Cricetulus griseus: one gene and its partners. Each later gene encodes a partner of the first gene's protein in a complex. Links are inferred from orthologs where the notes say so. Each region holds a gene or a part of one and is shown in the gene's direction. Other genes may lie near its edges.

Region 1 (4,094 bases):
CGTGCGCCACCCAGTTTACTTACTGTAGGCTTTGTACGTGGGTGTTGGGATTTGAATTCAGGTCCTCATGCTTGTACAGTAAGCATTCTCGCCATCTGAGCCATCTTCCCAGTTGCTTGCTTATTTTCAAGTGGACATACTAAGAACACCTGTCTCATATAGGTAATGAGGCAGACAAGTGCTCAGGTAGGTAAGTTTTCTCCACCCATACCCAGCCCCTATTCCAGCCACATTGGGGCTTCACTGTCCCGGCCCAGACCACTTGCTTAACTGTGCCCATGGGAGGAGCCAAGGCTTTTGAGGGTCTAATAATATTGAGCCATCTCTCCTTTCTTTCTTTCCTTCTGCTATGGAGCTCAGGATAGTCTCAGCCTAACTATGTAGCTTAGGCTGGCCTTAAACTTTGGGAATCTTTCTGCCTCAGCCTGAGTCTATATTTTTTTAAGTCCTTGTTTCAAAATGTGGAAATCAGGAACTCATTATTAGAACAGTGACAGACTAGTACTAGTACAACTGTGTGATGGAATATTGCAATGCAATGTAAAGGAATAGATTGTCTGTACGTCAGGTGTAAAAGAGGCCAAGTTAGAAAGTTAACACTGTATAACTCTCGAGTATAAAATTCTAGGAAATGCAGTCACCCAGTGGTTTGGGTGGGAATCCACAGGGGCACAAGGACATTTCTGGAGTGAGACAAGTTTCTTCTCTTGATTATGGCAATGGATTCACAAGTGTTCACACTTCAGAATTTAGCTAATTACACTCGTCAAATATGTGGTACTCTGTATGTCAATTATACCTCAATGGAACTGTTCAAATAGGCAGGGACTAAGGCATGCCTCAGTGGTAAAACTGAATTTGGAGTTTTATTAGCTAAACAGTAAGTGAGCCTTGGCAGAGTATTTGCAATTTTCTAATTTCAGGATCCCTCTAAATATGGTACTAATTGAAGTTCCCAGGTACAAACCTGAATGGAGGAGATAAATTTGGGAATACTGACTCTCTTTTCTGTGTAGGTCATCAGCTCTGGATCAGAGGACTTCTCTGGATTGTCGTTTCGAGACACAAACTGTGTCGAATGCCAGCTTCCTTTCTTCTACAATCACTGTAGCCTGTGAAAGGTTCCTATCTCTTTAATCTGTGAAGAGATGATGGATAAAGAATTGTCTCAACTGGGCAAGTAGTGCCCATTAGGGTCCAGCCGTCTGTATTGTCCCTCTCAGCGACTCGTAGGGAGCTGCGCGTCAGAGGCCAGCTCGGTTCCTGATTGGCCGCGTGCCTCCAGCGTGCGCGGCGCCAGCGCGGAAGCTCCTAGCCGGTGGCGGCGATGTCTAGCCGGTCTAAGCGGCAGTCTCATGGTTCCACCCGCGGGAAGCGCGAGTCCGAGTCGCGGGGTAGCTCGGGTCGCATCAAGAAGGAGCGAGACCGCGAGCGGGAGCCGGAGGCGGCGAGCTCTCGGGGCAGTCCGGTCCGCGTGAAGCGGGAAGCCGAGCCGACTGCGCGAGAGGTCCCGGCGCCTGCGCCCCCGGCCGTGAGGGTGAAGCGGGAGCGCGAGGCCGACGAGGACTCGGAGCCCGAGCGGGAGGTGCGAGGTGCGCGGGGCCGGGCCGGGTGCGCCCTCCACCCTCGCCTGCTTTCTTCTTTTCTCCCTTTTCTTTCTTTTTTTGAGACAGGGTCTCAGGAACTTGCTGTTGTAGCCAGAGATAACCTTCCTCTCGCCTTCACCTCCTGCCAGTTTTCGCCTGCTTTTTACTTTCCCTTGCTTCTTACGCTTCCCTGTCCAAGGTTGAATCCAGACTGGACTGTCTTCAGGTGAAGACAGTTCTAATATTAACCGTTGTCACGATACATCACGGCTCCCCTTTGTCGAATAGCCCACGTGAGTTAGGTGCTCTGCTGATAGCGTTACAGGTATTCCCCTCTACAGTTTTTGCAAAATTCCTAAGATGCAGGGTCCTGTTGTAATATCTGGAATAAGCTCGTTCAGCCGGGATCTCTCTGCACCCGATTAAAGTACTGACTATTAGTTCAGTAGTTTGGAGACAATTCTGCTTCTCCTGGGTTTTGCAGGAGGTTGTTGTAGGGGTTCTGTATTGTTTTGTCAAGGATGTTGATATAGTGACTACCCTTGGGAGACAGATTGTATTATTATTCCATAATAGAGCTAAAGGGACGTAAACTCACAAGCAGATAGGATACCCTTCTTTAAGGGCAGGGTTTTTTAATAAGGCAACCCAGTTTGAGCACTGGCTCTTTCTATTCTCTTGTGTGACTTGAATCCAGGAACTGGTGAAGATGTCATGTCATTGGCTATTGTTATTGCTTTAATAGACTCTTGGTTTTAGTCAGTGATATCACATGCCTTCCATCAGTGATCATGAAGCTGTGGCAAGCTAACAAATCAGCTTGCTAGTAGGATTAACTCTCAGAACCATCACAATTCTTAGACAAATGGTAGATTTAAGATGTTCAACTTATCTTAATACTTGTGATATATTGGGTTATGTTTTGTTTTTGTTTGTTTTGAGACAGGGTTTCTTTGTGTAGCCTTGGCTGTCCTGGAACTAGCTTGTAGACCAGGCTGGCCTCTGGACTCACAGAGATCACCTGCCTTTGCCTCCTGAGTGCTGGCATTAAAGGCATGAGCCACCACTACCCAGCACCTCATTAGATATTTATTTAAAGATTTATTTATTTATTTATTTATCATGTATACAGTACATGCCAGAAGAGGACACCAGATCACATTACAGATGGCTGTGAGCCACCAATGTGGTTGCTGGGAATTGAACTCAGAACCTCTGGAAGAACAGTCAGTGCTCTTAACCCCTGAACCATATCTTCAGCCCCTATTTATTTATTTATTTATTTATTTATTTATTTATAGGGTCTATTTGCTTTGTTTTTCGACAAAGGGTTTCTCTGTGTAGCTTTGGAGCCTGTCCTGCAACTTCTCTGTAGACCATGCTGGCCTGGAACTCACAAAGATCTTGCCTGCCTTTGCCTCCTGAGTGCTGGGATTAAAGACGATAGAAGCTATACCGCCTGGCTATTTACAGGGTTTTAATAAGTAGTGTTGGCTGGCCTGGAACTTTCTCTGTAGATCTTGAACTCACAGATTTCTCCTGTCTTTCCCTCTCAAGGGCTAGGATTAGTAGTGTGTGCACCACCACACATGGTGAAAAAAAAAAGGTGTAGTACATTTATTTATATATACGTGTGCATGTACTATGGTGTACATGTGGAGGTTACAGGGCAATTTGTGGGAGTCAGTTCTTCTCTCTTGCTCCCATGCACTCTAGTAATTAGATTTGGTGGCAAATACCTTTACTAAGCAGTCTTCACTTGCTTAGATTATGTAATATGTGAATTAATCTCTTGTTGGTTATGTGTGTAATAGATCTAATCTCAGTTTGCAGTTTTTTTGGAATGTTGTCACTACAAGAAAATTAAAAGCTCATCTTAATCTTAGTTGATCAGATTTTCCCATTTCCATGGGAAATATCCATGGGAAATAGCAACAAACAAAACAAAATGTACTTGTGATTTGAGTAGTCTGCTGTCCTCCATTTATGATGCTGTGTAAGAGCAAATCCTGCCCTTACTAATTAAGTGCTCTATCACTGAGTTACATCCCAGCACAAGTTTTCCATTTTAAAGTCTGTGATGGATTTCTTCTCAGCAAAGAATGGCCGAGTGGATTCTGAGGACCGGAGGAGTCGTCACTGCCCATACCTGGATACCATTAACAGGTCAGTGATACAGAGAGGATGAGGAAAAGTCTTGGGAACATATCTCAGCAGTGGAGTACTTAGCCTGACATGTCAGAGATCCAAGGTTTAATTCCCATTACCATACAAACAAATCAGTAGATTTGAGATACAGAATATGGTAAAAATGTTGTAGAAAATTCTCCAAACTCAGCAGTGAACAATTCATTCAAACTTTTCTCCTTTTTAGCCTTTCTGTCTTGAAAATGGTGCTTCTTGCCACGTTCTTTCATGTTGTCCCTTTAAAGTGGCCAAGTGAGGGTGTTTGTTTATTGTGTATCTCTGGCTGTCCTAGACCTCAGTTTGTGACCAGGCTGCCCTGGA
Region 2 (4,097 bases), on another chromosome or scaffold:
TTACCTTTCTCACTTGGAGATTGCCGGGGCTACCCGGGGGTCGCACAATCAGCAGGGGACGCAGGAAAGTGCCCCAGAGACGCTGCGGATCCAGCTGCCCTACCACCGTCCGTAGCTTGGCTTCCGGAAGGCTTCCAATCAGCGGGACCTTGGTGGGGAAGAGAAGAATGAAGACAAAACCCCCCATCCCCACCCTCTCCTGGGCGCCGCTGCCCCCTGGGAGCCCTGACTCTTCTTGGTGGTGCAGCAAAGACTTGGAGTTCACATGCATACACCCTAGAGCGGGAGGGCGTCTTCAAGGCAGATCTGGCCCCTGCTACTATTAGAGCCCTGACGGGAACCTTGCAAACAGATGTCTTGGGGCGCGGAGCTCAGATCTGCCCGCGTTGCTAGGCTGACCGCCTGCATCTCCAGGACGGCGAGGCAGGGGCGTGCGCTTGCTTGAGTGATGGAGAAAGAGATGTCACCCGCTCGGCACGGGAAACGGAGGAGGGACCGGGGCCCCAGGCAGGCCTCACCCGCAGATCCCGGCTGCGTGACAGCTCCTGAACCTCGGGGTGCCAGCCGTTCCAGACCATGAAGAGCGCCAAGCCCAGGGCGAGCGCCAAGAGCAGCAGGGGCAGGAGCTGCACTCGCGGCAGCAGGCGGCGCTTGGAAAGCGAGGGCGGCTGCATCGCGCCGCGATCCCCGAGCCGCTGCCGGGGCCGCCCGCGGCTCCCGGGACTCATGGCAGCAGCGGGGCCCCGAAGCCGGTCGTCCCAGACTGAGGTTTGAGTCCAGGCCAGGCTCCGCCCCTCCCCCCTATCGCTTACGCAAGCCAATAGGGAAGCAGAGCGGCGGCGGCATCGTCGCGCAGACGGCCGCGATTGGCTCCTTCTTCTCCAGAAGGCGGTGCGCAGACCCGAGGGCCCGCCCCCCACGCAAGAGGCGCAGCCAATGAGTGGCGGCTGACCGTGCGGAAGCCGCGCCCGCCGCCCTCAGGTGTCCATCAAGGAGAAACGGGCGGCGCCCATCCCTGAAGCAAGGAGGCGATTGGCTCGCTCGAGGCCACGCCCCCCCAGGAGGAGGCGGGCGCCGCGCGCTTGGAAACGGAGCTGTGTGTCGTGTCCCCGCCTCCTCCCCGCCCCCGTTCTTCTTCCACCCAGACGGGGAGTTAATTCGAGCCAGGCCCGGCGGCTCCCCCTTTTTGTTTAGTCGCGAGCGGGGGGGTCCCCCTATTGTGATCCTCACTGACATGGAATCCTCCCTCCAGGCATTTCCTACGGCAGAGAGCCGCCGCCGGGTCGCTATGGCAACGTGACACGCCCACGCCGCTGGGGCGGGTTGCGCAGGCGCCGACGGAAGTGATCCCAGAGGAGGGAGGCGGAAGTCCCGCCTTCCGCTCGCTCTACTCCGGAGGCTACACGGCAACGCGGCGGAGGCGGGAGTGAGCTGCGATCGAAACCTCCACCATGTGAGGCCGGGCTGGGCTCCCGCGGGGACGCGAAGGTGGAGGGAGGGACGCGGGCGGCTTAGCAGGTGGACTGTCGGCTTGGGGTGCTCGTAGCGGGGGCAGAGGTTCCTCCTGAGGTGTTAGGGGACGGGCGTGGGGCCTGGAAGGACGGGTCTGGAGTTCCGGAGCCGGACAGCTTCTTCTTTCTTTTCTTTCTTTCTTTCTTTCTTTTTCTTTTTTTTTAAAGTTTATTTATTTATTCATCATGTAGACAGTGCGAGCCAGAAGAGGGCACCAGGTCCCATTATAGATGGTTGTGAGCCACCCTGTGGGTGCTGGGAATTGAACTCAGGACCCCTGGAAAAGCAGTCAGTGCTCTAACCTCTGAGCCATCTCTCCAGCCCCCCTCATTTTTATTTTTTAAAGATTTATTTATTTACTTACCATGTATACAGTGCGTGCCAGAAGAAGGCACCAGATCTGGCACCAGATCTCATTACGGATGGTTGTGAGCCACCATGTGGTTGCTGGCATTTGAACTCAGGACCTCTGGAAGAGCAGTCAGTGCTCTTAACCCCTAAGCCACCTCTCCAGCCCCCCTCATTTTTATTTTTAAAAGATTTACTTATTTATTTACTTACCATGTATACAGTGTGTGCCAGAAGAAAGCACCAGATCCCATTACAGATGGTTGTAAATCACCATGTGGTTATATTTATTTATTAACCATGTATACACTGCGTGCCAGAAGAGAGCACCAGGTCTCATTATAGATGGTTGTGAGCCACCATGTGGTTGCTGGGAATTGAACTCAGGACCTCTGGAAGAGCAGCCAGTGCTCTTAACCCCTGAGCCATCTCTCCAGCCCCGACAGCATAACGGGCGTGGGACCCTGCTCTGTACTGAGTCTTGTGAAAAGAGCTGTAAGAGGAAAGCTGAGCCTGGTGGCACATGCCCAAGAGAGGCTGAGTGAGGCAGGAGGATGGTGAATTCGCGCCCAGCCTTGGGCTGCACATGGAGACCGTTTCCAAAAGTAATAGTAATTTTAAATGGGAGCCGTAAATGGATAAAGGTCTCGGCAGGGGAAGGGAGTTCTATTAAAAAATAGTGAAAGGCTCTCCAAAAAAAACAAACAAGCAAAAATCATAATGAGGGACTTAACCAGGATAAGGTAGAAAACAGACAGGGGGGCTTTTTCAATCTGCCTGGAGACTCTCAGAGTAGCAAGCTACTGCCATGGTTTGATGTGTTTATTCACCAAGCAGGTGTTACACAGACTGGTTGTTAAGTTAGACACACGGTGTATAAAAGGTCCGTGCCACCGAGAGAAAGTTTTTCTCACTGGGGCTGGTAAAAGGAATGGGGTAGGAAGACCAGAGAACGTGTTAGATGATGGAGAGTGCGGATGAAGAAATTTGAGTAGCTACCACAAAAAAAAAAAAAAAAAAAAAAAGACTGAAAATGCAACACTGGGCTGGAGTTATAGCTCAGTGGGCAGAGTACATGGCTACCTTGGGTTCTGGGTATAGTGGCAGCATGCCTGTAATCCCAGAGGTCTGGAGGCAGAGATGGATAGTCTGAGTCTCAGGTCAGCCAGGGTTACACAGTAAGACATTGTTGTGGGGATGGCGGGCACCAGGAGAAAGGTAACGGAAGATTAGGCCATGGATAGAAATAGCCAGGTTCTGGATATGTCGTAGAGGCAGATGACAAGATGTGAGGGTAGATTTCCTTTAAGAGAGTGCCGGGCTTGATGTTGAACTCCTGTAATCCCAGAACTTGGGAGGTGGAGTCAGGAGAATTGAGAATTGAAGGTCGTCCTTAGTTATATAGCAAGTTCAAGGCTAACCTGGGCTATAGGAGATCCTGTCACCAAAACAGAAATCAATTAAACAGTAGAGTTCTAGCTTAGAGAACCCGCTGAATAGAGTTGCCATCAGTGAAGACGTGGGGAATGCGTGGGTGGGAGAGGTTTTGGTGGTTAGACAGCTGGAACGGGCTAAATAGACAATGTCTCTCCCACCTCTGAAAAGGACATTTGGGGACCAGGTTGAGGAGACACTGGACAGTGCCTTTGATCACTCACACTTCCAAGCTCACCCATCTCACCCGTGGTTTTTCTATTCAGGAGTCTCCTCAATAAACCCAAGAGTGAGATGACCCCAGAAGAGCTGCAGAAGCGGGAAGAGGAGGAATTCAACACTGGTCCCCTCTCGGTGCTCACACAGTCGGTCAAGAACAACACACAAGTGCTCATTAACTGTCGAAACAACAAAAAGCTCCTGGGACGGGTGAAGGCCTTTGATAGGTGAGCACTGAGTCTGAGGGGCCTGAAGGAAAGGTTATTCCAGAAGCATAATGATAGTAAGTTGGTGACAAACTCCTGTAATCTCAGCACTCAGAGGGATCACCATGATCATGTTAGAGGCCAGCCTCCAAAATAAAAAATCAGAAAGTGTGGGGTGCTCTTTTTGTTGTTTTTTTGTTTTATTTTGTTTTCCAAGACAGGGTTTCTCTGGCTTTGGAGGCTGTCCTGGAACTAGGTCTTGTAGACCAGGCTGGTCTCGAACTCACAGAGATCCACCTGCCTCTGCCTCCTGAGGGCTAAGATTAAAGGTGTGAGCCACCAACGCCCGGCTAAAATTTGTCTTATCTGTCTATCCCA
Region 3 (3,500 bases), on another chromosome or scaffold:
TAGGCTTTCCTCTGCCTCCAAGAAGACATAGCCATTCATCTTCCTGAGGTTAGGATTAGAGTACCTTTAGAGGGCCTTCCACCTTCTATTACCCCAACCCCTCCTTTCTTGAGGTGGTTTCACTGTGTTGTCCTGGCTGACCTGTAACTCTGCAGGCCAGGGTGCTCTCAAATTCAAGAGATCTGTCTGCCTTTATGCTGGGACATGGGCGTGAAACTTACTTTTTCATTGTGTTTGTATTTTCAGGTCCCAGGCCTGCCAACACCTATAGAGAATATGATTCTTCGGTATGTTAAGGCCAAGGCTGATTGGTGGACCAATACTGCTCACTACAACCGTGAACGAATCCGCCGTGGGGCCACTGTAGACAAGACTGTTTGCAAAAAGAACCTGGGCCGCCTCACCCGCCTGTACCTGAAGGCAGAACAGGAACGGCAGCACAATTACCTGAAGGTTGGACCAGCTGGGCTGGGTGGTAAAGTGGGTTGCAGAGTGGAGATCATGCTTTGTATTGGTTTGGATGATAGTGGGAGACTAGCTTCATTCATGTTCACCTTGCAGGATGGGCCTTACATTACAGCAGAAGAAGCAGTGGCTGTGTATACTACCACTGTGCATTGGTTGGAAAGCCGTAGATTCTCTCCCATCCCATTCCCTCCACTCTCCTACAAGCATGACACCAAGTTGCTCATCCTAGCTCTGGAACGCCTCAAGGAAGCTTATAGGTAAGGAATGACTGGGAGGGTAATAGGGAATGGCATTGTGGCCCGAGTCCAAAGAAAGGTGTAGTCCTTTTGCAACTTCTTGGGTTTTCTCATTCACCTTTCCTTTGCTTTGTTAGTGTGAAGTCTAGGTTAAACCAGTCTCAGAGGGAAGAGCTGGGTCTGATCGAGCAAGCCTATGACAACCCCCATGAGGCTTTGTCCCGCATCAAGCGTCACCTCCTCACGCAGAGAGCCTTTAAGGAAGTGAGTGATGCTCCCTGAGCCTTTTGGTCTGTGCTATTTATCCTTGGCATCTAGAGGATGCCAGGCTGGCTGGTGAATTGATGTGAACCAGGTTTCTTGTCCCACAGGTAGGCATTGAGTTTATGGATCTCTATAGCCACCTGGTGCCAGTGTATGACGTGGAGCCCCTGGAGAAAATAACTGATGCCTACCTGGACCAATACCTGTGGTATGAAGCAGATAAGCGCCGTCTTTTCCCACCCTGGATCAAGCCTGCCGACACGGAGCCGCCTCCACTGCTCGTTTACAAGTGGTGCCAAGGTAAACTTCGCTGCAGTTCCCACCCAGCAGAGAAAGGTGATTCTGTCCATGTAAAAACTCTGACCCAGGCTGCACATTCAGTTTGCTCTCTTTGCGTGGTAAGAATGAGTGCTATTGCCTGGCACTGGTGGCACACACCTACAATCCCAGCTTACAGGAGGCTGAGGCAGGCAGATTGATGAGATCAAGGCCAGCCTGGTCTACAAAGCAAGTTCCAGGACAGCCAGAGCTATACAGAGAAACCCTGTCTTGAGAGGGGGAAAAATGAATAGTGTGGATGTTGAGCAAAACTGACACTTGTAGCAGCCAGAATGAATGAATGGTAGAGGGTTTTGGAATGTGTTGAGACTGCTATAGTTAGTTACTAAACCTGGAAAGGAATTTCTAATCTGCTAAACTCTTGTCTTTTTGCTTCTTTTAGGCATCAATAACCTGCAGGATGTGTGGGAGACCAGTGAGGGCGAGTGCAATGTCATGTTGGAGTCCCGCTTTGAGAAGATGTATGAAAAGATTGACTTGACCCTGCTTAATAGGCTGCTGCGACTCATTGTGGACCACAACATAGCTGACTACATGACAGCCAAGAACAATGTTGTCATTAACTATAAGGTCTGTCTTGGAGCAAGTAGCAAAATGTGTCAGGGGGTTTGTCTGACCCATCGAGTTAGGATTTGCTGAGGCAGAGTGAAGGAGATTGGACCCTGAAGCACCTGGGACAGAGCCAGTCTTAGCCATACTAAGAGTTGTGCGTTTTTGTTTTTGTTTTTTTTTCCTAGGACATGAACCATACAAACTCATATGGGATCATCAGAGGCCTGCAGTTTGCCTCTTTCATTGTACAGTACTATGGCTTGGTGATGGATTTGCTTGTATTGGGATTGCACCGGGCCAGTGAGATGGCTGGGCCTCCTCAGATGCCAAACGACTTTCTCAGTTTCCAGGACATAGCCACTGAGGCTGCTCACCCAATCCGACTCTTCTGTAGATACATTGATCGCATTCATATTTTCTTCAGGTAAAGAACATGGTCTGATCCTTTAACCTGCATGTCCTCACAGCACTGAGGCATGTCCTGCCTGTGAAATGGCTCTTGTAGCTTAGTTGACTAGTTGCTGAGTTGAAGCTATGAAGTGAAATGAAGTCTAGAGTAGCATAGGGTCCCCACTTGTGGAGCTGGCATTCTCAAAGTGTCCCCTGTCTTAATGTAGGTTCACAGCAGATGAAGCTCGGGATCTGATCCAGCGTTACCTGACGGAGCATCCAGACCCCAATAATGAAAACATTGTTGGCTACAATAACAAGAAATGCTGGCCCCGAGATGCCCGAATGCGCCTCATGAAGCATGATGTCAACTTGTGAGTCTCAGTTGGGCTTGTAGGAGTAGAAAGAATGCCAGTCCTAGGGACCCAGAAAGCAATTAAAATTGAGGAGGTTATATCTTGGGTAGGAGGAATATGGGCCTATCTTCTGTCTGGTCTATGAATGCAAGTGTCTTCAACAGACTGAAATTCTTATTTGTTCTCTGTGGACAGGGGTCGGGCAGTGTTCTGGGACATCAAAAACCGGCTGCCACGATCAGTGACTACAGTACAATGGGAGAATAGCTTTGTGTCTGTGTACAGTAAAGACAACCCCAACCTGCTGTTCAACATGTGTGGCTTTGAGTGCCGCATCCTGCCTAAGTGCCGTACCAGCTATGAAGAATTCACCCACAAGGATGGGGTCTGGAACCTTCAGAATGAGGTACAGTCTAGGAAGGACATCACTTTACCACCCTTGTAACTCTGGCATCAATGGGGTGAAAAACAGTCACACCTTTTCATTATCAGCTCAGTGACCCTTAGGTGGGTTGAGCTTAGTAGTGATCACGATTAATCCTTGCTTGTGTAGCCCTGGCTGGAATTTACTTTGTAGACCAGACTGGCCCTGATTGTCTCAGAGATCAGCCTGCCTCTGGCTCCACCTCCCACAGGTTAGGATTAAGGCATGTGCCACCATTCCCTGCTATTCCCTTTTTATTTTTTCTTTGAGACAGGTCTTACTGTTCAGTGATGGCTGACCTGGAATTTTATATAGACCAGATTGGCCATGAATTCACCAAGATCCTCCCTGGAATCTGCATTCTGGGATTAAATGCATGCATACCATGTTAGCTTTTCATCTTATTTATTGCCTTGTTATTTTTGTGGAGTTTGGAGGACAGCTTGTAGTTAGTTCCACTCTGTGGGTTCT
Region 4 (4,259 bases), about 12 Mb from region 1:
TCAATTCCCAACACCGAAATGGCAGCTCACAACCTTTTGTAACTCCAGTTCTGGGGAATCCAACACCCTCATCTATTTAACATCTGCAGGCATGGCCCACACATTGTGCACAGACATGCATGCAAAAAACATATGCATAAAATAAAAAAATAGTAAAGTGTTTTTTCAGAGATGTAAACAAGAGAAAGAACAAAATAGGTTAAGAAGGGAAATGAGCTTTGTTTTTATGAAGCTTACATTGTACTCAAACAATCAGAAATGAAGATGACTGTAGAATGATAGGTGAATAGGAACATCACTGTGATTCTGTGGTGGAGGATACCTAGGAATGACTACTTTAAGATGACCGTGGAATGTCTTAGACCTCAAGTAGAGAAGAAATTAGACCCAGCAACAGCGACGGAGAACATTCTAAGGCAAAGAAACATGGAAGGCCAAGCCTCCAGATAAATAAACAGTATATTCAAAGAAGAGAAAGGCAGTCACCAAGAGCCATCTGTAATCCCTGTGATCATGAGGATGAGACAGGAAAAACCCAGAGCTCTAGGCCGGGCTGCTGTTTAAAATAAGAATATCTGGAAGAGAGACATGCTAAGTGAGGTAGATGCTATACACGGAGAGCACACATCTAAGAAGGTTTTAAGTAAGAAGACCAAGGCATATGAAGTTTTGTTGTCGTTCTACATCACTTGGCTGCTGGATGGAGATCTGATGTAGAGGGGAACTCACTCAACTAGAAAACGACAGGAACAGGATACCAGCTATGAAATTAAGAGAATTAGGCACATATTTCAGTGACTCCGAAGCTGAACTGGACCTCCTGACGAACTAGCAGTTAAGAAAAGGCGTGTTTTAACAGGTGGGTGAAGGAGTGATTTATTGAGATGGGAATATTTTAAGCTTCTCCTTGGTTCAAGACCAAGGTAAGAAGCGCATCGCAAACCTGGGGCCGGAATTACAGTGGATGCAACTTGGAGAGAGATTCTCACACTACAAGGTCTCCCTCTGTCCTAGTTTTGGTGTCTCTCTGACACCGGGCAACAGGGAAGCTTTTTCCTGATCGGCCCTCAACACTTGCCAAGAGGCTGGACTTGGTCCTAGGGGTTACGGTGGGGTCAGGGCTGATGGTAGAGGCCCTCGGGGCGCCGCGCATCCGGCCGTGGAGACCTTCCGCCCCGCTGCCCGCCCCAGCCTCCGCCACCATCGCCTTGCGCGCCGCAGCCTCTCACCCGCCTCGCTCTCCTCCGGCCGGGCTGCTTTGTTGTTCTCGGCTTCTCGGCCGCGCCCCCGCCGCCTTCCTCCCGCAGGGCGCTTCGGAGCCATGCTGCCCGGCAGCGACACTCCGGGCTACCGCAGCCAGCCGGCCGCAGACACTCTCCGCGTGCTCGCCCCGCCCCGAGGCGGGCCATGCCTGGGCCGCGCCCCCTGACCAGGTTGGGACCACGCCCTCCGGAGAAACCCCTCCCCCTGCAAACTACAGGGGCGCAAAGGGACAAAAATAAAGTAGGTCTACTTCCCGAGAGTGGAACCCTTTGCGTTTCTGAGTGCCTGTTCTCGCGAGAGGTGGAAAGGGCGCAGCGTTTGAAACATGGCGGACGACGTAGATCAGGTAAGTTTGTCCGGAGGCGCTCTTAGAGGAAGCGCTTGCGCTTCCAGGTCGGGTTCGCGTTTTCCACGCTCGCTGAGAAGCGGCCCGTCTCTCTTTGTCCCGAGGAACCACGGCCTTCCGTAGCCGCGCCGGCTCCTGAAACTTCCGCAGGCCTAGAGTTTTCTCAACCCGCCTATCTGCCCATCACGCTCGGCATCGGCTTTTATCTGTAAAATGCAAACGGCTGTCGACACCAGACAGAAAGCGTGAGGTAGTGGTGGACACCAGCTTTGTAATACGTGCAAGCGCCTGGTGCGCAGGCAGCGGCTCACTTGGAGTGCAGTAGGAGGGAGGGAGGGAGGTAGAGAACCTGGTGGAGATGTAGTCTGGAGAAAGCAAGCCAAGATCGGGTGCACACAGGATCACAGGCTGCCCTCTTCACCTGCTCTTCCCCCTATTCCTTAGCTACCTGTGGAGTTCCGAAATGATTGCACTCCCTCACACGCACACGCACCCACACACGGGTATTTAAAATAACAGAGCATGTTATTTTAAATATGTATTTCTTTATCTGAGACATTTCTTCCATAACTAGAACGTAAGTTACTTAATAGGGGCATTGGGGCGGGGGTGGCTGGAGAGGTTGCTTTAGGAGTTAAGAGCACTTGTTGCTTTTGTAGAAGACCATGGTTGGGATCCAGCACCCACATGTTGGCTTAACAGCACCCCAACGCATCTTAACTCCAGTTGCAGGAGGGGATCCTCTGCCCCCTTCTGGCCTCTGCTACCGAGCACTGTGTCAGCGTGTGGTGCACATGCATACAGGCAAACTGCTCACATACACGATAAAAGTAAACCTTTAAAATAAAGGGGGGTTTTCTGTGTTTGCTTTTCTTTCCTAGGTTTAGGACAGTGCTGTTAGCACTCAGCAGGTTATTAGTTGAGGGAACGAACCCAATGTTCAGGGGCAGCTTCTTTGAAAAGGCAGAATGTAAAGCTTACAGGGTGAAAAGGATTGACAGTGGCCATCCTAGACTGAAGAGGGCTGTCGTGGGAACAGATTTCATTGTTTTGCAGCTATGTATTTATATGCCCCTCTCCATACTAGAGTGAGCTCCATTGAGGGGATGCGGCTTCTGTATTGTTGTAATCCAGTGGTTGGTTGTCTGATTTCTTAACAAAAGCCTGCTGAGCTAAGGTGGGAGGAGGAAAGCACCAGTTGAGATCCGGGGTTGGGGGTGTTCTGGGAGGGTTGTTTGTTTCCTGTCATCAGCCTCATATCTACACAGCCTACAATTTTCAGCTTTCACTGACCCCAGGTACTCACTGGAGAAGCTTGCTGAATGGTCTTACTAATTCTTGATGGCTGGAACCACCTCTTTCATATAGCTGAATCCAGGTCATCCCAGTTCTAACCTTTGAAACCTGTTCCAACAGTTCTTGAAGAGTAATTCTGATTTATCATTCCTCTGAAATGACTGACCAAGAATGCATTCTTAAATCTTGAAGCAAGCAAGAGATTATATTAAATATAAGAAATTACAGGTGCTGGGAGTGGGGCTGGTAAGATAACAGGTAAAAATGCTTGCAGTTTGTAAGCGTGACAACCTGAGTTCAATTCCTGGGACACACAGAGGAAGGAGAGAACTTTATAAAGTTGTCTTCTGACAGCTACTTGAACCCCATCACACACACACACACACACACACACACACACACACACACACACACACACTCTTAAAAGTTCCAGACTCGGTTCATACCTGCCCAATCCCAGCATCTGAGAGGCAAAGACTTGCTGCTCATCAAAGGCTGTCATGGGCATGCCTCTTAAAAAAAAAAAAAAAGGTAATTATTTAGAAGTGTTTCCTTTTTACTTCAGATAGACCCTTTAGTCCTTATAAGATCTCTGAGGCAAAGATGTGGTCTCCCCAGTTTGCAAATGAGGAGTCTGAAACAAGAAATGGCATGATTTTTAATCCCAGTTCAGAAGAGCCAGGTCAGAACCCAGAATTGAACAAAGGCTTCCTAATGACTCAGTTCTTTTAACTTCTATACTATACTACTCGGTAGGTAGGTTCATCTTGCCAGCCAATTAGCACCCTAAACTTAACCTGCGCTGTACTGACTTCAAATTCTGTCAGATCTTTTTAGTAGTGTGTGAATAGGTATTGCAGGTATGTTTTTCAAATGATTGAATTATACAAAAGATAAAGCTAAGGTTCCTAAGTGGTACTCTAACACTTTGGATTTTTTGGAAGTTCAGTCATCATTTTGCTACTTAACTCCTCTCCACATAATGTTTTTCTCCTCTTTTACATAGCATCGAGGCACCGTTCTAAGCTTTCATATGTCATTTAAAATAATAGTATTGGGGAGACACTATTTTCTGCATTTGGCAAATTAGACTAAGGTATAAACGGGTTATGTGACTAGCCCTTGGTTTCACTGCTTAACAGTGATTGAAACACCACTCTGCCTCTGGTGGTCCATTACTAAGTGTGTTTCCTTCATCAGCAACAGACTACCAATACCGTAGAGGAGCCCCTGGATCTCATCAGGCTCAGTTTGGATGAGCGAATTTATGTGAAGATGAGAAACGACCGAGAGCTTCGAGGCAGATTACATGTAAGTCTTTTAAATTATCTCAAAACCAGATGTTTCCCTATCA
Region 5 (4,157 bases), on another chromosome or scaffold:
ATCCCCAAAGAACCTGCCAACAAGAAGACGACTCACCCCCCCCCCTCTCACACACACACACACACACACACACTGTTGTGCCCAGATTTCGGAATCCCCAAAGAACCTGCCAACAAGAAGACGACTCACCAAATGCAAGGATAAAGGTTTCTTTATTGACTCAAGGACACCAGCTGCAGCAAGGACCCCATTCGTTTGGGAACAAAGGAGTACCCACTTTCGACTGAGGGGTGTTTTTAAAAGGGAAAATTGTAGGGCTGGAAGCCCCAAGATTACATAACTTCAGTAGTTACACAGGACAGGACAAAGATTGTTATGCTTCATGCAAGGTTTAATTAAGCAGGATACTGCAGAGGAAATGGGTTTGTTAATAGTCTCCTGGGCTGGGGACTTCTACAATTGATAACTATCTGATCCTCTTTGGACCAGAGGAATGTGAGTGCCATTCTAGGGTGTGATATCTGGTCTAAGGGCTTGAGTCCTGAGGCCCTTTGTTTAACCTTGTCTGCTGGACTGCTTTTTGGGAACTGAGTTTTCTTTTTGGGCTTTGGAGTCTGGGTTTTAGATTTTATTAATTTTCCCCTTTCAACACACACTAAAATTTTAAAATATTGGTTATGTACGGTTGACTGACTAACACATTTGTACAGCATCTAAGTGAAATCAGATCAAGAGGAGTTTAAGTGACTTTACAACAGGGACATCAATTATCAGGGATAGAATTAGAACCCAGCCTGGTGCTTAGTTTACGCTTTCCTCTAATCGGTCCCTTCAGAGTGGCAATGTAGACTTTCTTAATTACAACTTTCATCCCCAAGAAAAGCTAAGCCTCGATTTAGCCGTGCAAAGTGACCATCTATCGCGCACACCTTTCCCTCTCTGGAGTTCGTTTCCTTAAGGCTGCTTCGTGACACCTGAAGAGCCAAAAGCAGAATGCACGAGCACTTTTGATAGCTGGGCTCTCCCTGGAAATGCACCTCGTGCGGGCTACAAAGACGTTCGCTTTGCACCGCGCCATTTGTCTTTCGGAACTTTTTTTTGGCTCGCGCTGGAGAAGGCTAGAGCTCCCTTCCTCCCAAGGACGAGCAAACATCTCATCTAGGGCGTCTCCGGCACAGCCGATCTTCCCACACGACCGCGGCTCCCGCCCCTCCGCTGGCGAGCCTCCCAGCGCCTGCATCCAGCCCACACTTCCGCCCGTCCCCGCCTTTGTCCGTCTCCCTCTACCGACCGGCACCCGGAAGCGCGGCGGATGCACGCTGCGCACGCGCGCGAGTCAGTCCCCGCCCGGCTTCCGGTTTGGTCGGCTCCTTGCGAGTGCCGATTGGCTGCTAGGTACTCGTTGGTCTCGCGGTATCTGTGCTCACCGGCGGGCGGGCGGGCGGCGGGAACCGGTACGTGCTTCTGGCGGCCCGGCCGTGTCTCGTCTCCTTGTTGCCGGGTTGTCTCCTGTTCCCGGGACCTCCGGGCCCAGCAGCATGACGTCTGCCTTGGAGAACTACATCAACCGTATCCTCGGGCGGCTGCCCAGGCCGCGGCGGGGCGGGGCGGGGGCGGAGACCCGGGGCGGCGGGGAGGACTCGGGGTTCGGGACCGGCGGTGGGGTCATCCGGACAGACCCGGGCCCTTTTCACCCGGCACAGCTTCCCTGCAAGGAGCCTTTGGCTGGATTGCTGCAGATCCCTTAGGGCTTGTGCGGGCCAGCGTCGGGAATAAGTTGGACCGGTTTTCTCAGGGCTTGCGGTTGGCTCGAGGCTCGCATGCATAGAAAGGTGCTTGGTTCTCCAAGGTGAATTTCGGGCCCCCCCTGGAAGTGTCCATGCGATACCCTTAGAAGGAAAGCCTGGAATCGTGTTGGGCTTCAGTGACAGGCAAGGAGCTCTTAAGATCCCAGGTGAGATTTTAAATTACAAGCGCTGCTGCAAAGTCAGGACAGAAACCGTGCACCGAGCACATCTGGTACAGACAAGAAACTCAGGCGTTCAAAGCAGAGAGCTTTTAAGGAATCCAGGGTTGTTTGTACTTGGTGGCATTAATTATGACCAGGTCTTGGACTAGGGGAGGGGGCTTAACGCGCCACAACGGTGCAACATTGATAGTTACGCGTCCAGTTTTTATTTCAGAGGTGAAGACATTGGTCTGAGAAAGGAAGGGATTGTATCTCTCAGTGTTAGGGATTGGAACCCATTGCTGTTTTAAACCCAGGGTCAGATGTCAGACTCTACCCTTCTCCCATTAGATTTACTGTTTTCAGGATAGAATTGAAACAAGTTTCAAACCTTCAGTTTTGTACCTCGTGAGCAGCGGCTGTGTCGAACCTTCATACCGCCACTTTTTTCTTTTTTAAGTAATTGAGACCATTTCCTTACCAGGCTGAAAGTTTTCACTCTGCAATCTCTAAGAAATACTTTCCTTGACGCAGTTCTCAGGAACCGTCGCCGTTATCACTTCTGATGGGAGAATGATTGTGGTGAGTGGCATTTTCAGTCTGCTTCTTTGTAGGCTTATTGATTGTAAATTTGAAGTTACGTTTCTAATCTAATGCTGAGGTACCACGGTATAACCTCGATTCTAGTGTTCTTATGATCCAGCTGTTTTATTTTTTTAAGAATGTTTAAATTTAAAGTACACAGTGTTCTGCCCGCATGTATGCTGGAGATCCAGCTGTTTTGACAGACTTTTATCTCTTGGCTGTCAATACAGCTTCCCTAATAAACCTTGAAGTCTTCTGATCTGGAATGCAGAGCTGTGCCGACTAATTTTCTTCTTGCATTCTTTTTTTTTTTTTTAACCTCAATTCCTTTTGTTTGTTTTCATTTAGAGCTCTTTAAGGATTTACAAATTATGCATATGCTCTTGTAAGTTGCTTAACAATGGGGAGATCCAATCTGAGAAATGTGTATTCAGTGATTTCATTGTTCTTCAAATATTGTGAGAGTGGTTTCAGAAACTAAGTTAGCTGTGACTTCACTGGGGTATGATCTTTGGGACCATTGCCTCATCTACTGTCTCTGCAATATTTCTTTCACGGCTGTAATTTAATCCCATGTTTTCCCATTCGTGATTTTGTTTTCTTAAAGATTTATTTTTAGTTAGGTTTGAGTGTATGTCTGTTTGTTAGTGTCTGCCATGTGTGGTGGTACACTACACAAGGAGCCCAGAAGAGTTGTCAGATCCACTGGAGCTGGAGTTACAGGCCATTGTGAGCCACACTAGGTCCTTTGGAGGAATAGTATATACTTTTAACCATTTCTTCAGCCTCCTTATCTTCTTCTGAATCCCTTTGATTCTTCTTGCTCTTTAGTGAGCAACACCAGTCAAAGTGATAGACTGCCATAGTAATTGCAGTGCTTATCATATGCTAGGAATTTTGTGTTATTTAGTCTGCAAGGAATCTCAAGAAGAATTATCACTTATATTGTAGATTAGGAACCAGGCTTAGAAAAAAAAAAAAAAAAAAAAAAAACCAAGTTACTTTCACAGAGATTCAGTATAACAAGTGTGTTATAAATTGAGTTTTATTCCAAAACCCATAAAGGAAACAGGTGTCTTAAGGTTTTTTGTTTAGTGGTGGTGAGTTTACACTCTAAATTTGTCAACAGTAGGCAATTTGGAATGTGAAATTAGGAATATGTTTGTTTAAACATTGAAAGAAGTCTGTTGCATTTATCAGATAATTTACAAATAACTGATTTTTGAAATCCTCAGGTTTAAATTTCTTATATTTCTGTTAGAAAATGCTTATAGAAGAAAAGCTAAACAGAAACTTTGTATTGACACTCAGTAGTTCTGTCTTTATCGTACCTGATAAAATAATTGCATATATAATGAAGATGAGAGCACCTTTATAGGGGTTTATGATAACTACCATTTGCCAAGTGCTATAATAAATAGTCTAATTTGTTTTTCTTCCCAATTTCTACATTCCAAGTTTCTATTTATTTCATTCAGATTCTATACAATTATGGTTTTTCAGAACAGGGGGGTTTAAAGGTGTACCCAAGAGATTAACCAGCCAAATCTAAAAGAAGCTATTTCTTCAGAAACTTAAACAGCATTCATTATATTACATTTTGCTATAGCCACAAAATTTTTCCTGAGTATTTCCTTCAAGTTAAGTTCTTGATTATTTTGGTTCTACATATGTCTACTATATT
Region 6 (4,242 bases), about 21 Mb from region 1:
AAAGAGTGTATTTGTGCAGTTGGGAGGCAGAGGTTGGTGGATCTTCGTGAGTTCAAGGCCAGTCTGGTCTACAAAGTGAGTTCCAGGACAGCCAGGGCTGTTACATAGAGAAACCCTGTCTTGAAAAACCAAAATAAAAGAATGTATTTGTAATTGCCCCGACACCTAGTAGGTACACGAGATTTATGGAATGGGGTTTGTGGGGAAAAGCCACCACTGGCTTGAAATTGAGAATGGAGTGGAGTTTCCAAGGATCCCTAGAGGCATTGCTTTATCTATTAAACTTCATAGTGCTATATACATACAATTTATTTGTCCTTCTTCTCACTCACTCTTGTAGAAGACTTTTCTGTACATTGCTTTATATACCCAGCGAGCTGCTAATTAAACGGTGTATGAGGGGTGCTTACCAAACACTGTAAAAATGAATGGTGTTGATTATGATCTCTCCTATTCAGATTGTTTAAGTCCCTCAGACACAAATGAGACAACCGAAGCTAAAGAATTTGCCTGCTGCTTTTTTTTCTTTTTAAGTAGGGACAACCCAGGTCTCATGAAGTCATGAATGCTAGGAAAGCACTCTAGTGCTAAGCAAGGTGGTTAAGCTCTCATTAGTTTTTATTTCCTATTTCGTGTCAGGGTCTTACTAAGTTGTCCATGCTTGGCAACTGTGGCCTCCTTCTGTTTCTTAAGCGCTGGGATTGCTGGCCACTCCTCACAGCAGCTTTTTATCTTTTTCCAAAACACAAGTGTGATAGCATGTTTTCCAAATGTGATGACACCAACATACGGAGTGACATCTAGCAGTTACCTGTAAATCAATAAGTGTTAGTAACTGCAAAAGCCTGCAATAAACTAGACTTCTAAAAGGACAAGAAGAAGCCGGGCATTGGTGGTGCACGCCTTTAATCCCAACATTGGGGAGGCAGAGGCAGGCGGATCTCTGTGAGTTCGAAGCCAGTCTGGTCTCCAGAGCGAGTTCCAGGACAGTCCCCAAAACAATACAGAGAAACCCTGCCTCGAAAAACCAGAATAAAATAAAGTAGCAAAAATTAAAAAAAACCTTTGAATACTCGGTATAGAATATTTTTAAAAGATGCTTCGTAAGGGTTTTCAGTACTCTAGGCTTAAAAGTACAGGATTCCTTAAGAAAATGAGTAGTAGTTGAGACAAACGCAGAACGAGTTGGTGATAGCAAATCCTCATTGATTTTATGGCTCTGAAGAAAGATCCAACCTTTTAGAGGAAAACTAGCCGACTCAGAGATCTCGTATGTTGTAGTCTTCAGGCAGATATAGAGGAGACAAACTGTCAAGTTAGCAAAACTTCGGGGGCACGGGATGGTGGCACCGATATAGTGCGGAACTATTCTATCGAGTCTGTCGGTGATCCATTTGGATACCCCGCGATCGCCAGATCTGCCTCCGATTAGTTCCGTCTGAGCCAGTTGTGGGAAAGGGCGGAAGCGCGCTCTTTTAAAGTCTGCGCCCGTAGCCCTATGCCACTTCCGGCGTGGCCATGGCGGCTAACGCGACCACCAACCCGTCTCAGCTCCTGCCGCTAGGTAAAAGTCTCGCCCGGGGCGCGGGCGGGTTGCTGCGGCCCCACGCCCGCGCCGGAGGCTTGCCCCTGGGGCCGCTGCGGAGACCGAGCCCGTTGTCTGTCGGCGGCCGGCGGGGGCCCCACTTGGTGAAGGACGCCCTCGGCCTTGCTTGTGAGCTCGCCGGTTAAGATGTCCCGGTGCCGGCCCAGCTCGCAGTGTGGCCTTTCCGGTCTACACCTTAGGGAGCCCCTGTATTGCATTTGGCGGTGTGAGGAGGGCGCCACGGTCTACAGTGACTCCTAGAAAGAAATCTGGAGACTAGCTCCGTCATTCGTTCGTTCATTCATTCATTCATCCATCCATCAAGCAGTTCCCTCCCCGTGCCAGGGTACTGTTGAATAACGAATTTAAACTACGGCCATTGCTTTCAGATAGCACACTGAAAGACTTCGTGCCGAGCAGTTCTCGGTTGGCCACGGAGATGCTCAGGTTGGTCTCCAAGCACAGAGCTAAAGGCAAGATGAGAGAAGTGACAGGAAGCTGGTGTCGGTCGTGAGGCCTCTCCTCTGTCATGTTTTGGCGCCGGTGAAGTTAGTCAATGTGGCAATGATGGAAAGTTCTTGCAGGGTCCACTCCAGGGTATGTTCATCGGCAGAAACACTGATGAGGAAAAACTAACATGGTTTCCACCTTGTGGTGTAATTGTTTTTCATACATTAACCAAATAGTCAAAATCACAGTCCCGTTAGTTGCAGCAAAAAAGGAGGTAAGCGAAGGCCAAGACAAACATTTGTGCTAATGGCTGAGCGGAGATTTGTGTAAGATGTAGTTATTTAGTGACTGCTTTTTGTTTCTCTTTAATGATACGGAAATAGTAAAGTGAGCACTCGAATGCTTGTTGAACTAATAAGTGGGTAAAACAATCTTTTTCTTTCCACAGAGCTCGTGGACAAGTGTATAGGATCAAGAATTCACATTGTGATGAAGAGTGATAAAGAAATTGTTGGTACACTTCTAGGATTTGATGACTTTGTCAGTATCCTTTTAAAAAGTGTTCATGGAACAGGTTTTTAAAGATGTATTAATATAAGAGCTGTAGACAGATGACATATTTCTGTTTATTACATTAAAAATTATTTATTTTCCAGGAACTTGGTAACATTTTAAGAGGTGTGCTTGCAGAAAGCAGATAGGGTTCTCTCCAACAACAAACCTTTTGAATTTGCACCATTGTGTTGAACATTTTTGCAACCAAACAAAAACATAAACCAGAATAAATTCAACCTTGTTTATTTTCTTAACAACAAATTTCAGATATGGTGTTGGAAGATGTCACAGAGTTGTGAGTAGTATTAAAAATGACAAATAAATGGGGGAGGAGAGGAGGAAATATCTTTTTGAATTAAAGGCAGGTACCCTAGTTCCTTTTCTGTTACTGTGAAGAGACAGCATGGCCAAGGCAGTTTATAAAAGAGAGCGTTTACTGCGTGGGCTTGCTTACAGTTTCAGAGGGTTAGAGTCCACGTTTTTTCATGGTGAGGTGTGTGGAGGCAGGCAGGCAGGCAGGCAGGTGTGGGGCTGGAGCAATAGCTAAGTGATTCTATGTTGAGATAACCATGAGACAAACAGAGAGCCAACTGGTTATAATTTATTCTTTTGAAACCTCAAAGCCCACCGCCACAGTGACACACCTCAGACAAGGCCACTCCTCCTAGCCATTCCCAAACAGTTCTGTCAACGTGAGCCCGTGGAGGCCATTTTCATTTAAACTACAATAGCAGGATTAGTATGATGGATAAAGTATTACCTGTTGGAATTCTTTTAATGCTGACTTATTTACCGGTATTTGTGAGGTTGGGCCAGAAGATTATTATCTTAATGTCATTATTCCTGAATTTCTAAGAAATTAGTGTAAACACGCTTTATAGTGACTTTACATTTACTTCTATATTATATCTTTGTAATATATCTTTATATTTACTTCTGTATTTATGAAGTTTTATATTTACATAACTATTATCTGGTGGGCAGACTGTATTGCTGAAAATTATTGTAATTGTATGAGTTCACATTCATTCATATGTAAGAATAACAGTTTTGATGCTAGGGATTGAACCTAGGGCCTTGTGCTCTGCCACCCAGGTGGTGCTCTGCCACCGAGCTAACCTCTTTACCCCAGGAATAATTTTTAGAGAGGAAAAGCGTTTCCAAAATAATTGCCTTTGAATACTTGTTTATCCTGACTCCATTTTTTATCTATTTAGTGAAATTACACCAGAAGGAAGAAGGATTACAAAATTAGATCAGATTTTACTAAATGGAAATAATATAACGATGGTAAGACATTAAAGCTGTTTTATTTTGAATTTAATTACTTTTATAGGGCAGGGATTACAGAACACTGCTGCTTAGCTCAGTGTTCACGGTCTAGACATGCTGAGGATGGGAAGGGAGCCTTCAGTGATCAGTGCCCCAACGCAGCTATTGAAAGAGCATTGGGCCTTAAGATTCATTTGCTTATTAATCTTTATTACCTTTAGTTCATCAGGAACCATTGTTGAAACTCTTAAGCATCAATTAATGTTGGGATTACTAGCAGATGTTGATGATCTGGGAAATGGGAATTGAAGGATAGGGGAGAGACAGTGGTGGCTTTGGTCCATGAGGAGCACATGGGGAGTTTTAGGTGGTATGATAGT
Region 7 (2,830 bases), on another chromosome or scaffold:
CCTGCTCCCCTTGATGGGCAGCGGAAGAAGCGAGGGGGCCGCAGGTAAGGGGCTCTGGTGGCGCTAGAAGCTGGGAAGCGGGGTGGGAGGGAGGCTGGCACCTTCCCAGCCGACTTCCTATGTCCTGTTGACTCTCACCTTCCCCAGGTACCGCAAGATGAAGGAGCGGCTGGGGCTGACAGAGATCCGGAAGCAGGCCAACCGCATGAGCTTTGGAGAGGTCAGGCTTGCTCACAGTAGCAGTGGGACCTTGAGGGTTCTCTGCATGTCCTGCTGCCATCCCTCCCCTCCACCCTGCAACCCTAGAGCAGATCTGGGGCTACCCCAGCCGCATCCCTCCTGCCTAGCCTCTCCTCTCAAAACACCCTACCCCATGGAGATCTTTGCAGTTCTGAGCCCGCTGCCCTCCCACCCAGCTCCCCATGCCACCGTGTCTAACCATCATCCAGGAGGTCCCGAGAGAATCCACTTAGGCGCCATCTCAGTAGCGCAGCCCATCCCAGTTCTTGGCAACTTAACCAGAGCTTAGGGAGCAGTGGCCACTCTCTGTTTAGGTCAGGAAGCAGTTCTTCCTAGGGTTCCCTGCTACATCCAAGCAGAGCTAGGCTGGGCTCTTACAAGGTCATTTAGTGCAGTGAGTCCTTCAGGCATCCGTGAGACCTGCTGATTGGAGACTCCCTGGGTCCCAGTGGACAGGCCTGGGGGACTGGCCGAATGTGGCCAGCTTCTTAACAGTGGTCACTCCCCTCTCTAGATTGAGGAAGATGCCTATCAAGAAGATTTGGGCTTTAGCCTGGGCCACTTGGGCAAGTCAGGCAGTGGGCGTGTGCGGCAGACACAGGTGAATGAGGCCACCAAGGCCAGGATCTCCAAAACACTGCAGGTATGGCCAGGGCCCATGGGAGTGGGCGGCAAGGAGGGCACGGAGGTCTGTGAGCCTGCGTCATGGCCTCCCCCTCTCCCTGCAGCGGACCTTACAGAAACAGAGTGTGGTATACGGCGGGAAGTCTACCATCCGAGACCGCTCCTCAGGGACTGCCTCCAGTGTGGCCTTCACTCCACTCCAGGTACCACACCCTCTCCTACCAGGCATGTAGTGGGGTTGTAGCAGCCCTGTTGACCTAACACATGAAGAGCTTAGGCATCCGGAGCCACAACTCAGTGCAGATGGCTGGCAGTGAGAGCTGTCACAAGCTCAGACCAACTTTGGCACTGGACTCTGTCCGTGTGGCCCAGATACTCTGAGCTTCCTGTCCTCACTTTGAGATAGCCCCAGTCGTCAGGGTAGCCTCAAGGTGGGTCCCAGTGTCACAGCCCAGTGGCCCTGGACAGTATGAAGCAGAGTGGCCTCGGGTTACTCACCACAGAGGTAGGCAAATGTGTCCGGTAATGTGACAAGCCTGCTAGAATGCATACTCTGAATCTGTGCCATCTTTCTTCCCGGCTTCAGGTATAGTGATAAAGAGACAAGCTGTGCCTTTTGGGGGGGTCATGGGTTGGAGGACAGATGAACGAGTCAAGTATATACTGTATTAGGCCATGGGTGCCAGAAAGCAGCAGCAGGGGTGAAAGGCGAGTGCCGGCATTGTCATCACTGTATGGCGTGAGAGTCGCCCGAAACTCTGGCTGGTCATGTCCCTGTAAGACTCAGTTTCCTCATCCAGAATCAGACAGACAGGAGTGGTGTTTTTTTTAGCATCACCTGAGGACGTTAACAATGCTGATACCCAGGCCCTGCCCCTAGACCCACTGGGTCAGAATCTCCCGAGCTGAGGGAGACTCCAGGGGCTGTCAACAGTTCCGTGTCCGCTAGAATGTTCGGGGAATGTGACATGTCTGGTTCCCATACAGCAGGGAGGCCTGGGCCTCCCCACCTTACCTGCCCCCCTCCCTTCCCAACCCAGGGTCTGGAGATTGTGAACCCACAAGCAGCTGAGAAGAAGGTGGCAGAGGCCAACCAGAAGTATTTCTCTAGCATGGCTGAGTTCCTCAAGGTCAAGGGTGAGAAAAGCGGCACTATGTCCACCTGAAGGGGCCAGGCCCCGGGTGGCCACCCACTGGAAGGACATGGACAACTGGAGCTTTGAAGTGACCGACCTCCGGCAAGGAAGTTGTGGTGGAGGCAGCCTGCCCTGCTCTGTCCTTGGCCCAAGGCCAGAGCATCCAAGAAACGGGGTGAAGAGCCTCGGCCCGTCTCCCCAGAACCCAGACTGCTGCTGCCCCAGTTAAATGGGCGGAGGTCTTCCTCACACTCGTCTTTTTTACTTACATGGGTAAAGGAAGTGGTTTTCTAGAAAGAGTACAATTAAATGCACAGTGTCAGGCTCTGACCAGAGGGTGTGATTATTTGTGAAAGACCCAGAGGAGTCAGAGCTATGGGGTTTCCAGTCCAGGTATCTCTTCTGCTCCTGTCCTGGAATCTAAGAAGAGAAAAGCCCCGTCCATTTCTGACATCACCACCCACCCCCTGAGAACCTCAGCATCACGGCCAAACAGTATGGCCACCACAAAGCTCCAGGGCCCAACAAAGGTCATAGGATTATTGTTGACCCTCAGGCTAGATGCCTCCTTGGTCCAAGATCCACATCTGCACGGTGAGGCACCTAGGAGACCTGGGGAGTGTGTGCAGAATGCACCCAGCACCGGGCTGATTGGGGAGCCAGTGGTTTTAATCCATGTTGACTGAGGGGGCCATGCCTAAGTACCCTGCCCTGGGAGGCACAAATGCCAGCCAGGTAAGCAACAGAAACCATCTTTGGTGTGTTAGGAATCTGTGATTCTGCAGGTTAGCAAGAGTCACTGCTGGGCTCTGTTTTTCCTAGCTTGAGCT

Evidence for each region.
Region 2: Usp39 (region 1) and Snrpd2 share a complex: the UniProt entries of both Homo sapiens proteins name them as parts of the U4/U6-U5 tri-snRNP complex. The link is inferred for Cricetulus griseus from reciprocal best matches to the Homo sapiens genes USP39 and SNRPD2.
Region 3: Usp39 (region 1) and Prpf8 share a complex: the UniProt entries of both Homo sapiens proteins name them as parts of the U4/U6-U5 tri-snRNP complex. The link is inferred for Cricetulus griseus from reciprocal best matches to the Homo sapiens genes USP39 and PRPF8.
Region 4: Usp39 (region 1) and Lsm3 share a complex: the UniProt entries of both Homo sapiens proteins name them as parts of the U4/U6-U5 tri-snRNP complex. The link is inferred for Cricetulus griseus from reciprocal best matches to the Homo sapiens genes USP39 and LSM3.
Region 5: Usp39 (region 1) and Lsm8 share a complex: the UniProt entries of both Homo sapiens proteins name them as parts of the U4/U6-U5 tri-snRNP complex. The link is inferred for Cricetulus griseus from reciprocal best matches to the Homo sapiens genes USP39 and LSM8.
Region 6: Usp39 (region 1) and Lsm5 share a complex: the UniProt entries of both Homo sapiens proteins name them as parts of the U4/U6-U5 tri-snRNP complex. The link is inferred for Cricetulus griseus from reciprocal best matches to the Homo sapiens genes USP39 and LSM5.
Region 7: Usp39 (region 1) and Prpf31 share a complex: the UniProt entries of both Homo sapiens proteins name them as parts of the U4/U6-U5 tri-snRNP complex. The link is inferred for Cricetulus griseus from reciprocal best matches to the Homo sapiens genes USP39 and PRPF31.

What each region holds. Positions count from the first base shown.
Region 1 is NC_048601.1:64,076,363-64,080,456, reverse strand, and holds the start of Usp39 (U4/U6.U5 tri-snRNP-associated protein 2), read left to right. Parts: upstream 1-1,294; 5' UTR 1,295-1,327; coding exon 1,328-1,592; intron 1,593-3,682; coding exon 3,683-3,752; intron 3,753-4,094.
Region 2 is NC_048602.1:28,213,612-28,217,708, reverse strand, and holds the start of Snrpd2 (small nuclear ribonucleoprotein Sm D2), read left to right. Parts: upstream 1-1,297; 5' UTR 1,298-1,451; coding exon 1,452-1,453; intron 1,454-3,560; coding exon 3,561-3,740; intron 3,741-4,097. Other genes in the region: Qpctl (glutaminyl-peptide cyclotransferase-like protein), read right to left, coding at 5-148, 519-728. UniProt on the Homo sapiens protein: Plays a role in pre-mRNA splicing as a core component of the spliceosomal U1, U2, U4 and U5 small nuclear ribonucleoproteins (snRNPs), the building blocks of the spliceosome.
Region 3 is NC_048600.1:88,943,112-88,946,611, forward strand, and holds part of Prpf8 (pre-mRNA-processing-splicing factor 8), read left to right. Parts: intron 1-246; coding exon 247-453; intron 454-561; coding exon 562-725; intron 726-841; coding exon 842-968; intron 969-1,075; coding exon 1,076-1,268; intron 1,269-1,689; coding exon 1,690-1,877; intron 1,878-2,044; coding exon 2,045-2,283; intron 2,284-2,476; coding exon 2,477-2,623; intron 2,624-2,800; coding exon 2,801-3,011; intron 3,012-3,500. UniProt on the Homo sapiens protein: Plays a role in pre-mRNA splicing as core component of precatalytic, catalytic and postcatalytic spliceosomal complexes, both of the predominant U2-type spliceosome and the minor U12-type spliceosome.
Region 4 is NC_048601.1:52,288,973-52,293,231, reverse strand, and holds the start of Lsm3 (U6 snRNA-associated Sm-like protein LSm3), read left to right. Parts: upstream 1-1,459; 5' UTR 1,460-1,588; coding exon 1,589-1,609; intron 1,610-4,105; coding exon 4,106-4,216; intron 4,217-4,259. Other genes in the region: Xpc (DNA repair protein complementing XP-C cells), read right to left, coding at 1,230-1,323. UniProt on the Homo sapiens protein: Plays a role in pre-mRNA splicing as component of the U4/U6-U5 tri-snRNP complex that is involved in spliceosome assembly, and as component of the precatalytic spliceosome (spliceosome B complex).
Region 5 is NW_023276806.1:207,804,434-207,808,590, reverse strand, and holds the start of Lsm8 (LSM8 homolog, U6 small nuclear RNA associated), read left to right. Parts: upstream 1-1,357; 5' UTR 1,358-1,478; coding exon 1,479-1,509; intron 1,510-2,429; coding exon 2,430-2,470; intron 2,471-4,157. UniProt on the Homo sapiens protein: Plays a role in pre-mRNA splicing as component of the U4/U6-U5 tri-snRNP complex that is involved in spliceosome assembly, and as component of the precatalytic spliceosome (spliceosome B complex).
Region 6 is NC_048601.1:84,604,347-84,608,588, forward strand, and holds the start of Lsm5 (U6 snRNA-associated Sm-like protein LSm5), read left to right. Parts: upstream 1-1,442; 5' UTR 1,443-1,518; coding exon 1,519-1,564; intron 1,565-2,483; coding exon 2,484-2,579; intron 2,580-2,857; coding exon 2,858-2,885; intron 2,886-3,807; coding exon 3,808-3,880; intron 3,881-4,242. UniProt on the Homo sapiens protein: Plays a role in pre-mRNA splicing as component of the U4/U6-U5 tri-snRNP complex that is involved in spliceosome assembly, and as component of the precatalytic spliceosome (spliceosome B complex).
Region 7 is NC_048602.1:21,556,712-21,559,541, forward strand, and holds the end of Prpf31 (U4/U6 small nuclear ribonucleoprotein Prp31), read left to right. Parts: coding exon 1-44; intron 45-147; coding exon 148-220; intron 221-754; coding exon 755-883; intron 884-968; coding exon 969-1,067; intron 1,068-1,904; coding exon 1,905-2,030; 3' UTR 2,031-2,330; downstream 2,331-2,830. UniProt on the Homo sapiens protein: Involved in pre-mRNA splicing as component of the spliceosome. Required for the assembly of the U4/U5/U6 tri-snRNP complex, one of the building blocks of the spliceosome.